Callithrix jacchus: one gene and its partners. The main gene of each other region encodes a partner of the protein of the gene in region 4 in a complex. Links are inferred from orthologs where the notes say so. Each region holds a gene or a part of one and is shown on either strand. Other genes may lie near its edges.

What was found.
Region 1: GEMIN5 (region 4) and GEMIN2 share a complex: the UniProt entries of both Homo sapiens proteins name them as parts of the SMN-Sm complex. The link is inferred for Callithrix jacchus from reciprocal best matches to the Homo sapiens genes GEMIN5 and GEMIN2.
Region 2: GEMIN5 (region 4) and GEMIN4 share a complex: the UniProt entries of both Homo sapiens proteins name them as parts of the SMN-Sm complex. The link is inferred for Callithrix jacchus from reciprocal best matches to the Homo sapiens genes GEMIN5 and GEMIN4.
Region 3: GEMIN5 (region 4) and STRAP share a complex: the UniProt entries of both Homo sapiens proteins name them as parts of the SMN-Sm complex. The link is inferred for Callithrix jacchus from reciprocal best matches to the Homo sapiens genes GEMIN5 and STRAP.

The regions. Positions count from the first base shown.
Region 1 is NC_133509.1:73,778,710-73,783,135, reverse strand, and holds the start of GEMIN2 (gem-associated protein 2), read right to left. Parts: upstream 2,954-4,426; 5' UTR 2,938-2,953; coding exon 2,801-2,937; intron 2,416-2,800; coding exon 2,331-2,415; intron 1-2,330. UniProt on the Homo sapiens protein: The SMN complex catalyzes the assembly of small nuclear ribonucleoproteins (snRNPs), the building blocks of the spliceosome, and thereby plays an important role in the splicing of cellular pre-mRNAs.
Region 2 is NC_133506.1:63,634,399-63,638,694, reverse strand, and holds the end of GEMIN4 (gem-associated protein 4), read right to left. Parts: exon of another isoform or gene 4,088-4,296; coding exon 921-4,087; 3' UTR 737-920; downstream 1-736. UniProt on the Homo sapiens protein: The SMN complex catalyzes the assembly of small nuclear ribonucleoproteins (snRNPs), the building blocks of the spliceosome, and thereby plays an important role in the splicing of cellular pre-mRNAs.
Region 3 is NC_133510.1:7,424,963-7,429,528, reverse strand, and holds the start of STRAP (serine-threonine kinase receptor-associated protein), read left to right. Parts: upstream 1-1,506; 5' UTR 1,507-1,827; coding exon 1,828-1,939; intron 1,940-2,661; coding exon 2,662-2,797; intron 2,798-4,566. UniProt on the Homo sapiens protein: The SMN complex catalyzes the assembly of small nuclear ribonucleoproteins (snRNPs), the building blocks of the spliceosome, and thereby plays an important role in the splicing of cellular pre-mRNAs.
Region 4 is NC_133503.1:54,148,158-54,152,470, forward strand, and holds the start of GEMIN5 (gem-associated protein 5), read right to left. Parts: upstream 3,008-4,313; 5' UTR 2,898-3,007; coding exon 2,732-2,897; intron 1,940-2,731; coding exon 1,779-1,939; intron 784-1,778; coding exon 602-783; intron 1-601. UniProt on the Homo sapiens protein: The SMN complex catalyzes the assembly of small nuclear ribonucleoproteins (snRNPs), the building blocks of the spliceosome, and thereby plays an important role in the splicing of cellular pre-mRNAs.

The DNA of each region.
Region 1 (4,426 bases), on a different chromosome or scaffold from region 4:
TTCACGCAGCCTGGGCAACAAGAGCAAAATTCCGTTGCAAAAAAAAAAAAAAAAGAAAGAAAGAAAATATTTCTTACAGATGTAAAAAAGTAGACATTTCACTTTTCTATTTATTTATATCCCAGTTAAAAACATTAGGGAAAGAGCCTTAGTCAATTTAATAAGAGAAATCTGGAAAGGCTTATACTTGGAGTTTCTTTTTTTTTGAGACAGAGTTTCACTCTTGTTACCCAGGCTGGAGTGCAATGGCACGATCTCGGCTCACCGCACCCTCCACCTCCTGGGTTCAGGCAATTCTCCTGCCTCAGCCTCCTGAGTAGCTGGGATTACAGGCACGCACCACCATGCCCAGCTAATTTTTTATATTTTTAGTAGAGGCGGGGTTTCACCATGTTGACCAGGATGGTCTCAATCTCTTGACCTCGTGATCCACCCGCCTCGGCCTCCCAAAGTGCTGGGATTACATGCTTGAGCCACCGCGCCCGGCCCTATACTTGGAGTTTCTATGAAATCTAAATGACGTTAGCCCAGAGGATATGATCTAGTCCTACCTGCCTTTCTAGAATATCAAACAGAAACAAAAAGAGAGACATACCGTTTCAATCAATCCATCCATCTATCAAATTAGGTATATAAGACATTCTGTTCCATTAAATGTCTATCAACTAATGAGCCGAGACCGTGCCACTGTACTTCAGCCTGGGTGACAGAGCAAGACTCTGTCTCAAAAAAATAAATCAATCAACTAAAAAATCCTGAAGAGGAATTACAGGAAACATTATAGTGTCTGAATTAAAATTTTCTGATTATAAATATCAGATAGAGAAATTACTTTCAACATGAAAAGGAAATTACTATCAACAATTTAAAATGCCACCTCCTTTAAGCTTAGGTTAAATAGCACCTCCTTAGAGAGACCTTCGCTGGCCAGGCGTGGTGGCTCACGCCTGTAATCCCAACACGTTAGGAGGCTGAAGCAGGCAGATCACTTGAGGTCAGGAGTTCAAGACCAGCCTGGCCAACATGGTAAAACCCCATCTCCACTAAAAATACAAAAATTAGCTAGGTGTGGTAGCACACACCTGTAATCCCAGCTACTCAGGAGGCTGAGGCAGGAGACTCTCTTGAACCCGGGAGGTGGAGGTTGCAGTGAGCCAAGATCACACCACTGCATTCCAGCCTGGGCGAAAAAGCAAGACTCAAAAAAAAAGGGGGGGGGGAGGGAAGAAAGACCTTCTGTGATTCCTCTATCTACAGTAGTTCTGTCATTTATTGATTATTACATATGCTTATTTTCTTCATAGCAATAGTCACAACATGTAATTATTTGTTTGCCTGTTTACTCTCTGTCTACAAGGGTAGGATCCTTTTTTATCTTATCCTCTGTTACATTCCCAGTGCCTGGCACAACGTAGTCCCTTAATTAAAAATGTGCTGGATAAATAAATAAACGAAAATGTCCACAGTGTGCAAGTAGCTGTAAAAGTGTAAGATATCTGAGTTTCTATTTTGACAAAAAGTGGAACTTTATCAAATTCAGAACACACAAAGCACAATAGGATTAAACACCAATCTAGTAACTGGAAAAAGATTCCTTAGGAAAAAAAAAAAAGGAGGGCCCAGTGCGGTGGCTCACGCCTGTAATCCCAGCACTTTGTGAGGCCGAGGTGGGCAGATCACCTGAGTTCAGGAGTTCCAGCCTAGCCAACATGGTGAAACTCCATCTCTACTAAAAATACAAAAATTAGCCAGGCGTAGTGGCAGGCACCTGTAATCCCAGTTACTTGGGAAGCTGAGGCAAGAGGATAGCTTGAACCTGGGAGGAGGAGTTTGCAGTAAGCCGAGATCCTGCTGCTGCACTCCAGCCTGGGTGACAGAGCAAGACTCTGTCTCAAAAAATAAATAAATAAAGGGGTCAGGCACAGTGGCTGAAGCCTGTAATCCTAACACTTTGGGAGGCAGAAGCGGGAAGACAGCCTGAGGCCAGGAGTTCCAGACCAGCTGGCAACAGAGACTCCCTCTCTATAAACAAACAAGAAAAAATAGAAGATAGCCTAAGTAACCCATTTAAAGACTCCTTTGAAAGGATTGGATAGTGTCCCTGAAGAAAGATGGGCAAGCTCCACAAATGCTAGAGTTACAGAAAACCTCTTCAGAGGCTGTAAATGCCAGTTGCCTTTCTGGAGGAAAAAGTACAAGCGAATGTCTATCTTTGAAGGGAGTAGTCAAATCTTACTTACACCATAATTGATACTGTCGGATACTATAGGAAGAGCCTTAGTCTTTTAATTGAGGGGTTGGGGGTAATCTCCAGACGGTTAATAACTCACAGAAATATTCACACTTTGCTTCCTTTTCAACTTCTTTGGGTCAATTTGAGCTACCACAACATCTGGACACTGAGCTGCTTCGATCCTACAAATAAGTAATAAATGCAAGAAATTAAATTTCTATTGTGCTTTGCTCAGGTGTAGTAAAACGAGCGATCCATTTCCATAGTTGATTGTGAAATTAAAAAAAAAAATTCAGACTTCCACTTGACGTACTAAAGAATATATTTCTGAAATTATCTGGATTGAAAACAAATCTAAGATCACACATCTTGGTACATTCAATCATGTTAAACAGAAACTCGCCCACGTAAGAATGTAATCCAGAATCCTGAACAGACCCGAACTCGCAAGAGACTGGAACGGGAAGAAACAGGACTTTATAGAACGCAGGTCGAGAGGGGCACCAGGGGCTGTACCCCGGGGCAGGGCAGACGACCAGCCCACCCGCCCAGGGCCAAATCACTCACTGGACCCGCCTCAGGTATTCCTGAGGCGTCCTCGGGGGTACCGAGGGATCGAAAGCTTCCGTCAAGTCGCAGGGCTCTACCGGTAATAGCCGAGGCATCAACTCTTCCACAGCGGACTCGGCTGGTACCCACGCCATGGTTTTCAAACCAGCCAGCTCCACTCAGCGCATGCGCCCACTCTAGGTCACGGCGCAGGCGCACAAGTAGGAACCTTGGGCGCGGAGCTGAGCAATGGCAGTTTAGGGAGCGTTAACTGCGCATGAACAGACTGCTGCTTGCCTCAAGGTTAAGGCTCCGGTGGTGTAATAAAGGATCTGAGAATTTAATTCCTAGCTGAATTGGTTCGAACGCGTTTCTGGTCTTTTACTCCCTGTTTTGTCTTCTCACGCTGGGCAAAGGCCGAGGGTTAGCAACTTTTATGCATCCTTAGTAGTGAAGGATCCTTAAAAATGGTTTTTGAATTAATGAACAGTATTACTGTAATTATCATTCTTGGAGCTCTAAATTCTTAACCCCGACATAAACACACACATTTTCTCACTTGATTCTTAAAACAATCTTGTAAAGTGGGGAGTAATACTCTGTTAGGGGAGGGACTGAGCTTCTCCCAAAGGGGAAGACACCAATTCCAACATACGCTTATCCGATGCCAAATGAAAGAAAAATTAATTTTCTACAGGAATATCTAGTGCTTGACCACTTCAAAGATCACTGTATGTTTATTTGGAATGAGTATTACTCCTAGAATAGCCAGCACTTTTTATTTTTTTTGAAGAAAAATATCTTCGTTTAAATACAAATAGTGAAAAATATGAAGCTAATGCTAACATACAGAAATTAACAAAAATGTTAGGTCAATCTTGTTAGGTAGATAGTATCATCTCCATTTCACAGGTGAGGAAACAGGGCAAGAATGTGCAAGAAACAAGTATTATATCTGATTATTTCTAAACAAATACAATTGAGTGAATACAATTGACTTTTCTAAAATTTATATTTCTTTTCGAAGGTTTTTAAAAAAATTTGTTTATATTTTAGCACTGTTTTTAGGTTGCAAGGAATCGATTTCAAACAAGGATGTAAGTTTAAGTTGAAGATAAAAAAATTAAACAGGATAGTCCTTAGCTTTTTTTAAAAATTATATATATATATATTTTATTGCACTTTAGGTTCTGGGGTACACGTGCAGAACATGCAGGATTGTTGCACAGGTACATACAAGGCAATGTGGTTTGCTGCCTCCATCCCCCATCACCTATATCTGGCATTTCTCCCATGTTATCCCTCCCAACTCCTTCCCCTCCCCTGTCCCTCCCTTATTCCCCCCCAACAGACCCCAGTGTGTGATGCACCCCTCCCTGTGTCTATGTGTTCTCATTGTTCAACATCAGCCTATGAGTGAGAACATGCGGTGTTTGATTTTCTATTCTTGTGTCAGTTTGCTGAGAACGATGGTTTCCACATTCATCCATGTCCCTACAAAGGACAGGAACTCATCTTTTTTATGGCTGCATAGTATTCCATGGTGCATATGTGCCACATTTTCCTTGTCCAGTCTATCACTGATGGGCATTTGGATTGGTTCCAGGTCTTTGCTATTGGAAACAGAGCCAAAATGAACATACA
Region 2 (4,296 bases), on a different chromosome or scaffold from region 4:
CAATCCTCTCATTTTAGAATTGTGCAGGCCTCTCGGGCACAGCAGTCTCATGGCCAGAGGCAGAACCAGGGCTGGAGTAGATTCTTTTCCAAGCTGCTGTCCTTTCCAAGAGACCTCATGAAAAAAACAGTAAAATACAAAATAGCTCTTAAAGGGGGTTGCACAGACCCTGTCATTCTTTTTCAACTCCGATAGTTTTAACTTTCAGCTTATTTGCCAAAATCAAGGATGGAAAAGTCAAGTTATGGCCAGGTGCGGTGGCTCATGCCTGTAATCCCAGCACTTTGGGAGGCCAAGGCGGGTGGATCACGGGGTTAAGAGATCAAGACCGTGTAATCCGAGCACTTTGGGAGGCCGAGATGGGTGGATCACAAGATCAAGAGATCGAGACCATCCTGGCCAACATGGTGAAACCCCATCTCTACTAAAAATACAAAAATTAGCTGGTCGTGGTGGTGCGCGCCTATAATCCCAACTACTCAGGAGGCTGAGGCAGGAGAATTGCTTGAACCCAGGAGGCGGAGGTTGCAGTGAGCCAAGATTGCGCCACTGCACTCCAGCTTGGCACCTGGCAACAGAGCATGACTCCGTCTCAAAAAAAAAGAAAAAAAAGGAAAAGTCCAGTTATGAACATGTTCCTCTGGGCTGAATTGAATCTCGAAGACACTAAATTCAATTTCAGAGCATACATAATCAATCCTGGGCTATTGCTGCAGCAGACTTAGACAAAGAGAGATGCAAAAGAGAATGTTTATTATAGTTTGTACATTATAAATGTACCTAAGAAATTATTTTCTTTATACCATTATTGCCATGATTTCCTGTGGACAGTTTAACGCAGCTGTAAAGTCCATGCTGTGCAGGTCTGACCCCTATGGATCTGCCATATTTAGACCCAGCTTTTCTGCTATGGGCCAACGTCAGAAGCTGCTGATCTTTTGCAGCAGGGTCTGACGCCGCCCTTCGGGGCTGATGTTCTCAGCAATGGACTTCAGGAAGTGCTGCTCGTTCACCTTCTGGAGCAAGGAGCTGACAGAAGGGTTGGCCTTGCTCAGAGTCTCATAGCAAGTGAGAGTTTCCAAGGCTAAAATATACAGTGGCTCACAGACCTCCTGGCGGAGCATGGCCATGATGTGCAGAGCATGACAGAACACCTGGGTGTAGACAAACAGAGCTTCCTGGGTCAGGTCCTGCTCTTGTCCCTGCGCCCAAGGGCCAACTGACTGTATCAACCTGACTGAGTCCAGGAGGCTGGTCAGACTGCCACACAGGAGTCTGACCACATGGTTCCAGCCTTCCAGAGGAAGCCAATTTTGACAACTCTGGCTACAGAGAAACTGGAAAGCCCTCAGGAAGAGTACAGAGAGCTGGAGCTCCTGGGCGAAGGGCTTCAGGTTGAGCAGAGGAACAAACTGAATATACTCCAGGCTATATGGGACATGGAGCAGCTGTTTCTCCAGCAGCCTCCTGGTCAACTGCTGAAGGTGTTGCCACTCCTGAGGGCTGCACCAAGGCATGACTTGCACCAGGGCCACCAGAAATCCTTTGCTGAACAACCTGACCTCCTCAGGACTACCCACGTTGACCACCAACAGAGACAGCATCCTCTCTGAGAGGGTGCTGGAGATGCAGGAGCACTCCATCCAGGCCAGGAGCCCTGTGCCTGGCCCATACCCTTGGTGGGCCTGGGAGGTCCACTCATCCTCAGAAAGCTTACAGATCTCAAAAAGTGTGGCTGGCACCTCACACTTGAAGTGTCCTTCAAAAAAGGTCTTCAGTCTGAGGCCCACAGTCCAGTCAAGCTCTTCTGACTTGCGGTGGAGCCAGGACACGGACTTGATCCAGGCGTCTGGGGAGAAGGTCTCGGCATTGGCTAATAAAATCTCACACAGGAGCTCCAGGATATGGGCCGCCAGATCCTTCCTCTCCAAAGACAAACGCCGCTTCTCCTTAGGGAGCTGCCAGTACTTGCTGAAGCTGTCCAGGAGCTGGCACAAGCTGAAGAGGAGTGGGAATGGGGAGCAGGCCTGGAGCCAGTATTCCTCCAGGCATGCATTTGCTTCTAGAGTCTGGAGGAAGATCTTCAGACTGAGGTCCACCTCTTCAATATCTAACATCAAGAATGACAGGACAAATTCCTTCAGCACCTCATCTGGCTCAAGCAGAGCAGCCACTGGAATCCCCTGGGGCTTCACAGGATTCATCAGGCAGTTCAGGAGCTCCAAAAATTGCTTTTCCTCCTTGGGTGTAGAGAACTTTGCCCAGACAGTTTCTCTGAGGCACGACACCATGAAAGTGGTAGATGAATTTGGACCCTGCTCTTCTATGAACCGAAGAGCGGGGAAGGCTGTGAGAATCTGGGCCAGGAACTTGTGGGTGCCAAGATTGACCACAGCCAGGCTGCAGATTTTCTTCACTGTGGCTTCCGGGTGCACTATCATCAGGCGGGCCACGGAGGCCACAGCTTTTGCCAAGCCCTGCTCGGAGGCACTCTGAGCGAGCTTGTTTAAGGTTGTATTGAGGTCTTCCGGAAAACTCTCCACATAGGTCAGCAACGTTTCAGATAGGCCCCTTTTCCCCCAGGAATGCAGGATGCCTGCAAGGACTTTGTTTTTGTCTGGCAGGGAGAGGTCTGTGTAACATTCCAGGACCAAGTGGAGCACTTGCTGGATCTGAGGCTCGGGGACTGCTCTGTCAGTGGTGCTGGCACCTAGCACTGTTTCCAGCAGCCTCAACACCAAATCTGGCTCCCTGAAGAGAGCCCTGTTACTCACCAGGCAGGCTACCCACTCGTCTGAGAAAGCCCACTTCTTCTCAGAAGCAAAAATGTAGCACATTTCCATGTGACGGTTCATCTTCTGCTGGATGATGGCCATGGCAATGGAAGCCGTGATGTCCTGGGAGCCCCTGTTCTTCAGTACCCTGCTGGTTTTCCTCAGGAAGTCCCTGACACACACTGCCAGCTCAGAGGCCACCTGCCTCTCCTCCTCGGGCAGGCTGGCGCGGTTCAAGTAGAGCGCCAGGTTCTGGCTGAAGGAAGTCAGACTGTCGCACAGCCGGTAGCTGTCATAGCTTGTGCCCTGGCTGCTGCAGAGCATGGCTTGCAGCTCCTCCCCCCACTCCCCCAGCAGGGCGTGCATCAATTCCAAGCCGGCAAAAATCGTCTCACTGGGGAGTTTGGCCAGTGAGGTCAGGCTGACATCCCGTTCTGCCTCCTTGACCTTCTCTGCCAGTGCCTGGTGGTGGTACAGGTTCTGGGTGTCTGAGTTCCACACAGAGATCACTGTGGCCAGTTTGTCCAGATACACAGTTGCAGACACCTCCTGGGGGTCGTCCTCGGTCAGTGCAAACACGCTCAGCATGTCGGCCAGGTTGGCCAGTGCACAGCACTTTCTCCCTGGGCCCAGGATCCGACCCTGGATCTGCATCAGCCCACGAAGCAGCATGGCCAACAGAAGCATGGTGGGGCACACGTCTGGCTCTGACCTCAGCCTCTTGGGAGGATGGGGGAACTCTTCTAAGACAGGCAAGTACTTATGGACCATTGCGCTGAACTGGGAGAGCAGGGGATCCTGTGGATTACCCCGGTGCTTCATCATTTCCCACCAGACATCCAGGAAGAAGGCCACGTCCTCAGAGGACGTGTCAATGCTCACGTGCTCCAAAAAGCGCTCGAGTTCTGCACAGCAGACAATGGCAGGCAGGGCCATCAGGAGCTCGATAAAGAGTCCAGAAGCTTCTAGGGACTTGAGCAGCTCAAACAGGACGGTGTGATTGAGGGTGGGGATCATATTGCCCACTGAGAAGAACACATCTTCCTGCCACCGAGTGTCCGTGTCAGAAGAGGTCACAGGCTGAGGCTGCAGAACCTTGGCCCAGATGATGATCAGAGCTTTCTTCTTCCAGGCAAAGGGCTGGGAATGCGCTGCTGCGGAGGAGATCTCCTGCAAGGCCTCCACAATGGGCCGCCCAACGTGCTCCCAGTCAGACTTGGTCAGTTCTGTCAGAGCTCTGGGGTGGAACAGCTGCTCAGCCAACAGGAAGCCTCCGTGCAGAATAGTCATTTCCTCACAGATGTTCAAGGGTCCTGCACAGAGAAGCCAAGTAAGACAGTATAATGCGAACGTCTCAAGACAGTCACTGCAGTTAGGAGGCTGTCAGGGTTAGAGATGATGAGGGTTTTAGACATCCACGAAGGGGAGAAGAAGGGATGGCCACCAGAGCCACTGCAGGGCTGGAGGCAGGACTGAGCTGAGGAATCCAGAATGACTTCCAAGCTCTCTAGAGTGGGAACTG
Region 3 (4,566 bases), on a different chromosome or scaffold from region 4:
AGAATAAACTAGCAATCCCAAGAGGAACTACAGACCCTCTGAAGGAAGTGGACTGCTCCTTTAGGACCCTGGAGACCCCCAAACACTGTGAGAGCCCCAACTGTGGAAGTGGGAAAAAGAGATCCTCCTCTCCCGACTACACACTCACACTGGAGAAGCTGAAGGTCTGTTTATGGGAGAAGTTTCTGACTTTACCTGGAGCTGAGTCAAGTTAGAGAGCCGAGTGAAATACGGGGTAGAGGAAGCAGCGGAAAGGCCTTGGGAGCTCACTGGGTCCCCAAGCGGCCCATTCCTGCCTGGGACCACAGGGATCCATTGGAAGAGTGGCCAGGGGAGCAGATGGCAAAACTCCACAGGAAGAAGGAATCTGTAGCTGAACTTTGTAACAATGTGAACTGGGCAAGAAGCCTGGCCAGAACTTGGGGGACTGTGCGAATCTGGCTTGCACACTACACAGGCAGGGGAAGAACTAAAGCCCTTTTCTTTTGCAGCTGGGAGGTAGATAGCATCAGGCAAATTTTCAAGCCTGTCTCACCCTCCACCTGGAAACAGACTCCGGGCTGTTGCAGGGTCACAGTGGGAATGAGACCAGCCCTTTGCTTTGCATGGGATCTGAATGAGGCCTGTGACTGGGGGCTTTCTCCTACTTCCCTGACAACCTGCATGATTCAGCAGAGGCAGCCATAATTCTCCTGTATACACAATCCCAGTAGCCTGGGAATCTCACGCCCATTCCCCACAGCACCCGCAACAAGGCTGCCCAAATAGAGTCTGAGCTCAGACACACCTAGCCCTGCCCCTACCTGGTGGTCCTTCCCTATTCACCCTAGTCAACCAAGGAAAAAGTAACTTGAATTTGAACCGCGTTTAAAAGCACATAGTATCGACGCCTACAACACTAGCAACACAAAATTGACACAGCAGGAGATGGCTGGGGAATTTGTTTTTTAAGATAGGGTCTCGCCCTGTTGCTGAGGCCGGAGTGCAGTGGCCGACCGCTCGGGCTCCAGTAATCCTCTCACCCCAGCCTCCCAGGTAGGTGGGACCACAGGTGGCACCACGTCAAGCCCGTATGCAGTCTTTACATAAGACAAATTGCAAAAAATGTTGCTAGACAGTGTTCGCTAGTTTGGGCCGTCGGTGGGAACGGCTCCAGTGTCCGTCTAGATGATCAGATGCCGGGGACAGTCCTCAGCGGGGCTGCTCGGCGGGCACAGAGCAGCCGCTGGCCCATGGGCTTATGGGAGTGGGAACGGCTTTTAACTCGGCCGCGAGCGGGGAAGGCGTTCTGACCCGCTAGAGCTCGGGGCGAGGGACCCTACCCGCTGCCTAGAGCGCCTCTAGGCGCCTGCCGTAGCCGGCGCGGGCCGGTGCTAGCGGTCCGATAAGAACTCAACCGGCTCCTGCACCTCCCTGTACTTCTCGCTGCTTCTTCCAGTCACTTCTACCCCGCGAGTCGGCCCGCCCGCCAATCGTCACTTCCGGCGGGTGCTGCGCATTATTTACGTCGTCACTTCCTGTCGATGCCGGTGTGGACGCTGTGAATCGTGGCTGGGTCGGTTCTCCGCTTCTCCCCGTCCCCTACTTTCCTCCCTCCCTCCCTTTCCCTCCCTCGTCGACGGTCGCTCGCCCGTCGCAGACTCCCGGACCCCACCCTCACCCCTTCCTAACCTCCGTGCCACCGGATTGCCCTCCTTTTCCTGTCTCCCAGCCCAGCCCCAGTGTCAGGGCGGGGGCCTGGAGGAGCCGGAGGCGCTGCAGCAGACGAGAGAAAAAGACAACGACGACCCTCGGCTCTCCAGTCCGGTAGCCGCACTCGCCGCCGCCATGGCAATGAGACAGACGCCGCTCACCTGCTCTGGCCACACGCGGCCCGTAGTTGATTTGGCCTTCAGTGGCATCACGCCTTATGGGTATTTCTTAATCAGCGCTTGCAAAGGTGAGCAAGGCCTCTGATCCTTGTCCCCGATCGCTGGGACTGGGCTGAAAGGGATTGGGACCCGCACGCTCCAGTGCCGAAGCGCGGGGTTGGCGGGGGCGGGGAGGGAACGCTATTAACCTCCGAAGTGAGGGCCAGCACTGGAAGTCCGGTGGAGAAAGCAATGTGTTCGAGAATCCGCAACTGGAGCCGAGAGACCTCTGGACGCTTTTGTAGAGACTGTTACCTCCAACTAAGACCCCTCTCGTTGTTTTCTTTTTATTGCTATTTTTGGAGGAGCTGGACAGCACTTGCCTGCACTCTCGGGACAACGTTGTAAATAGCTTTCAAGGATTTGGGGAAAGGAGAAATTAGGCCAGGCCGTGAAATACTTAACAAAGACGTTCGCTCTTGTCTCACTGGATATTCCTTTGTGGCATTAGCCTTATTTTTCAGATGGGAAACTGAGATTTAGGCTAAGGTGTTTGTCCAAATTAAGAGTCAAATCTAGATTGTTTTGACGCAGATCAGCATTCCCACCGAATTACAGATGCTTTTCAGAGAGAATGGTCTGTTCGGCTCTCAGTTAATTTATTTCTGGACGTTCCTTGGTGACTTCAATGGGCGGTTAAATAGTTGAAACGATTTTTCCACTTTGTCATTGAACATCATTGTATATTTACATTTGCATCTTAGACTTTAATCTGAACTTTAAATCACATGTCTTAAAAAATATTTTCTAGATGGTAAACCTATGCTACGCCAGGGAGATACAGGAGACTGGATTGGAACGTTTTTGGGTCATAAAGGTGCTGTTTGGGGTGCAACACTGAATAAGGATGCCAGCAAAGCAGCTACAGCAGCTGCGGATTTCACAGCGTAAGTGTAGCCAAGATGGCTAACGTCGGTGTTCTCTGTAGATTGTGTCCAGAAATAATGAAAAAGTTCAACCTCAGATATTCATAGAATTCTGAATCACTGGCTGCTATGTAGAATGCCAGATGTTTGAGCTCACCAAAATTCCACTGTGGTCCTGTGTGCTTGTTTTCAGTGGTTCTCAAAATTTTCAGAGGCTTAAATGACTTATTCCTTATGTTTTGATTAAGACTCAGGAGCCTGCATGAACAAACACTCCAGATGATGAATATTGATCTCCTTTACGAATGCTGCTCTGTGTGTACTCCTTAGTGAAATCCTACATGGGTGGCCTTAGGTTTTTATCTCAATCCCAGTTTTTGTTAGCTTGCTTTAGGCATCACTAACACTCATTGTGTCAAACAAACAAAAACAAAAAAACTCAACTTCTCTTCATTTCCTAAGTTTTTGAAGGTTGAAATGTAAAACATTCTTGATTTTCCCTTACATCTAGATTATCATCATCTTTTTTTGATTCTGCCACTGGGATGTCTCCTGATTACAGTGTTCCTCCATGTAGTATCTGCTGCTGCCTTAGTTCACAATCATTTTTAACTTTCTTCCAGTAGTTTCTTTTCCTCCTCTTCATATTCCATATTGTTGTCAGTTGTTTTCCTAAAAACATGTTTGATCATGTCACTTCTCTGCCTAATGATTTTCCTGTCTTCCCTTTGCCATTTTAGTATTTTGTGACCTTTGATATACATTAGAATACCAGGAGAGCTTTTCAAATATTCAAATGTATGTGTCCCAGAAACTCGGATTTAAAATTTTTTTTGGGTTTTTACTCTCTCTCTATATATATACTTTTTGCTACATGTAAAAATACTTTTTAATGCTTTTTACTGTATAGACACTAGCTGTGTTTCCCAGGCTGTCTTAAAACTCTTGGCCTCCATGCCTCAGCCTCTCAAAGAACTGGGGTTACGGGGTGAACTGCCATGCCTGGCACAGACCTTCTGGTTTGATTGGTCTGAGGATGGAGTACTGATCATACTGATCAGTGGTGGTTTTTTTTCTTGCCTTTCTTTCCTGTGTGCAGCCTTAGAAGCACGGACCTGAAGGACACTTCAGTTGTTGACACTTTACAGTTCGCTTCATCCTAGTTCTTCAGCATCATCTTCTGGCCCTGCACACCATAAACCCTACAATCTAATTATACTACACTTACTGTTGCCAGAATATACCTTACCTGTGCTGACTTTTGACTGTTAATGATGTTACTAAACTGACTGGCAGTGGCCCTCTTTGCCTTTTTGGGAATGTATAATGTTTTATAAATCTTGTTATTTCCAGTTCCTACCTGGTATTTGTAACTTAGGAATTTGACACTTGATTGTTTAAACTGATGAAGGCAATATCAAGAGCTGTTGTACATACACAGATTTATTAGACTTAAGAGGCTGGAGAGTACAAGTATTATTGGTTATTTATTATTTATTATTTATTTATTTCATTTATTATTTTTGAAACAGAGTCTTGCTCTGTGCCCAGGCTGGAGTGCAGTGGCGCAATCTCGGCTCACTGCAATCTCTGCCTCCCAGGTTCAAATGATTCTCCTGCCTGAGCCTCCTAAGTAGCTGGTTCTACAGGTGCATGCCACCATGTGTGGCTAGTTTTTGTATTTTCAGTAGAGACGGGGTTTTGCCATGTTGGCCAGGCTGGTCTCAAACTCTTAACCTAAAGTGATCTGCCTGTCTTGACCTCCCAAAGTGCTGGGATTATGGGTGTGA
Region 4 (4,313 bases):
ATACCTCTATTACATTAGTCCCCAGTCTTTCAAATTCACTCCAATCAGAATTTCGCCTTCAACATTCTAGAGAAATTGCTTAAGTCTTCAAATTAGAGAAAATGGACATCTTTCAGTGAGAAGTACATAAATGGTGAAGGAAAGGGGGATGTCCATCCTGGTAGATCATTGTGAAACAACCTTGTTGATCAATGGGGAAATGGATCCCAATGTCACACTGCTTTCCCAATCTAGACGGAGTGCTCAGAACCAGACAAACTGAGCAAAGTCATCTGACACCTGGGAGTTCATGTTATATCAAAAGGCAGCACAGAAAGTGAAAAAGGTGAAAGAGGACGCTTCCTACATTTAAAGGTTGACTACAGGAGTTGGACATGAAGAACCAAGAAAGTACAGTACCATGGAAAACCAAGGAAACAAAAACGGACTGGCAGAGTCAGTAAGGACCTGGAGGAATAAATGATGCTAAGGGGTCAGGGTGACTGGTTAACAACTGTAGATGGTTTTCTTTGAGGAATAAAAGGACAGGAGAAGGTAAAGAAAATGCAAAACATGATCATACACAAACAAAAATCTTCAGTACAGATGGCACAGTACTTACCCAATGGCTACTAAATCTTCATGATGAGGTGAACAAGTAAGACAGAAAATTGTCCTGGGTTCTATAAAGAGGTGCTGGCTGTCATTTCTGTTAAGCCAGTAACAGAAAACTACCCCTTTTTCATCCCCAGATACTATTAAGTCCTTTACTCGAGGAGACCAATGTAATGTTGATATCGTATGCTTTAAAACAAAACAAAAATTTGTTAGTCAATGCTAACATTTTACTTAATTTTTAACTTGTATCACAACCCAGCGTAATGCTATGTACATACATTAAAAGCAGTTAATACTTAGTAGTACTTGTAGAGCCACATGATATTAACAAAATGGTGGGAAGATTTAGACTACAGGGGATCAAATAATCATAACATTTTTTAAATAGCTTAATGCAGAGTTCTTACAAAGATTAAGTGAGTTTTTCTTTTCCCTTGTTCTCTCAAAAGGCAGGTATATCAAGTAACTATCTAGTTTAGAAATGAGTTTAATTCACTCATTTACAGTCTCTATCAGAAGTCTATTTATATCAATAACCAGAGGGTAATTGTTGTTGTTGTTGTTTTTTGAGACAGAGTCTCACCCAGGCTGGAGTGTAGCAGTGTGATCTCAGCTCACTGCAACCTCTGCCGCCCAGGTTCAAGCAATTCTCCTGACTCAGTTTCCAGAGTAGCTGGGATTACAGGTGTTTGCCACAGCACCTGGCTAATTTTTCTATCTTTAGTAGAGATGGGGTTTCACCATCTTGGTCAGGATGGTCTTGAACTTGTGACCTTGTGATCCACCTGCTTAGGCCTCCCAAAGTGCTGGGATTACAGGCGTGAGCCATCGTGCCTGGCAGAGGGTAACTGTTTTAGACGTTTTGGGTCATACCATGCCTGTTGCAACTACTCAATTCTTACAGCATTAAAGCAGTCATAGACAATACTTAAATGAATTAGTGTGGTTCTACTCTAATAAAACCTATTTGCAAAAATAGGCACAGAGAAGTTTGCCAACCTCTGGTTTGTATGTATCTCCTTTCAAAAAAAGTTGAGACAGCTTACAATATAGTCTTATCTAATTAATGAACACAATTATAAGTTACCTTGCACAAATGAGCTAGGAAAACTAGCTTGAAACCCAAGAACCCTCAGCACAGACATACAAAAACGGTCTGAGAAACCAGTAAGCCATGGTACCTGATGGAGTGCATGTTCTGTCACAACTGTTTTTGTCTCTACGTCCCATATTTTAACAGTCCCATCGTCGGAGCTGGTGGCACACAGGTTGTACTGACCAGGGTGATGAGAAAATGTGAAGCCAGAGACCCTCTCGGTGTGTCCCACCAACTCTCCTATGACTTCAAGTAAAACCAGACATTAGATTAATCGAAGTGCTATCCAAGATTCCTGGCAGAAGCATACTGCTGTTGGATGATGAGTGAGCAGATACTTTGGAGTTACTTAACCCATGGTATAACCGAAATACCGACGGACTCACAATCAGAACTCCCAAGTGCTGACATTATTGGCTGTGCCACGTGACTTCGAACAAGTCTTTTTGAGCCTCAGCTTCTCAACTGTGAAATGAATGTTGATATACCTTGCTGTGCTTAGTTCAGAGGCTGGAAAGCAGCTCAAATAATGTGATAGCGACACTTATTGAGATCTGGCCAGAATAAATTACCTGACACGTCATATCCCAAGGCACAATCAAAGCCTAGTTTGGAGCCTGAAAACATCTGGCTCAACTCATTCATCTCACAGTAATGAATGTCACATGTCGAAGGATCATGCATAGGGCCTGCAGCTGTAGTCAGCCCCCAACCTCAGGAAGGCTCCCGAGGGGCTGGCGTGCACCGGGCTGGGTGGGGGAACCCTGTAAATGGCCGGGACTGTACAGGGCTAACTTTTCAGTCAGCAAGCGGTCCCACGTGGAAGCTCCAGGAGGCGGGACCGCTCGGCCACAGCATGCTGTAGCTCATTCTGGGGATCAGAAGCAACTCAGTTTAGGGATTGTGGGCTGACTCTTCGCCCAGTCTGGACCTCAGTTTCCCTAACTGTAGAAAATAGGGTGGCTGGAGACCTCCACTCGGCGCCCCTGGGGAGCGTAGAAAGGGCAGGAGGGCTCGGGACCAAGGATGGTGAGTTACCTCGAAACGGAGGTGTCCCAGGACTCTCGCCTGCGTCCGGGCCCACGCGGACAAGGAAGACGGAGGTCCGCGCGGCGAAGCCAAAGAGGCCCCCGGGCACGGCATCGCTGCAGCGGGCGCAGTACCAGTTGGGAGAGGGCGGCAGCGTCCGCGGCTCCTGCCCCATAATTACAGGTCGTCGGAGCCAAGAGAAGCAGGCAAGAGAAGCAGCCAAGAGAGAGACCGCTCGCAGCCTCACGCTTTAGCCAGGAGGCGGGGGGGGGCGGGGTAAACTCCGAGCCCCGCCTTCTCGGGCAGTCGCTACGGTGCGCGCCGAGGCCCAGTTAGCACTGCGCGTTCCGTGCTCGCTGCTGCCGGGCTGGGAGGGGCCTGACCGCGTGCGCTGCACTGACCCGCCCTCCGTACCTAGCCCGCCGGAGGAGGTCCGCCCCAACCCTGGCTAGGGTCGGATGTTGCCTGAGCACAGCCACGAAATTAAACATTTCACTTTCCACAGGAAGGCACAAAATTAGAGGATTAGACTAGTGGAACCACTGCCCCACGCTACCAGTTTACTCTTTGGACTTTTTCAACCACTACGCGTTCATTGTTTTTTGAACGCTCTGTGCCAGGGCACTTCGCTAGTGTGGAGGTGTTTTAAAGGTATGCACAAGGAGCCACTTAACAAAAATATGGAGCCCAGAGGACAGGCTGGAGTGAGCTGTGATTGTGCCACTACACTCGAGCCTAGGCAACAGAGTGAAACCCTGTCTCAAAAAATAAACAAAACTATGAAAGTACAAATCTGGAATTAAAAAGGGAAAGAACAGTTTCTGCAACTGGGTGGAAATTCTGGCTCTGGGTTCTGGGCATTCAAAGATGAAAGAGAAGCAAATGGAGTGACTCGATTTGCTTGATTGAGAGCTCTGTGAAGGAACCTGTATGTGGTAAATGGTGTGAAGGAAAGTTTCCTTCCAACTAAAAAATGCTAAAATGCTCAGATTCTGCACTACTTGTGTGTTGCTTATTTGCATTGGGTATCTGGCACTCCTGCGTATGTAGCAAACCGAAATCTGAACTACTCGTCATTAATACAGAGAGGTCAAATACATATATTTGGCTTCACCTAGGGGCACGAGTTTGGAGACACCCTAGCTGCAGATTGATCACTGGTTTGCCAGTTGTTAGCTGGGAGACTTCTATCCTAAATATGTTTCCTCATTTGAAGAAGGAAAATGATAATCCATGCCTTGTTGGATTGCTGTGAGGAATAAATGAGATTTGGTGAAATACCTGCCGGACATATGGCAGTAAATGCCCGATGAATATAAACTCATTTCCTGGAGGTCAACCAGATTAGTAGAGATTAGAACAGCATACATGATATTTGAACTATTTGCTGTTTAAAAGAGATTTTAGGCTAGGCTTGGTGGCTCACACCTGTAATCCCAGCACTTTGGGAGGCAGAGGAGGGTGGATCATTTGAACCTAGGAATTCGAGATCAGCCTGGGCAATTTGGCGAAACCTAGTCTCTACAAAAAATACAAAAATTAGTCAGGTGTGGTGACGTGCACCTGTAGTCTCAGCTAACTGGGAGGCTGA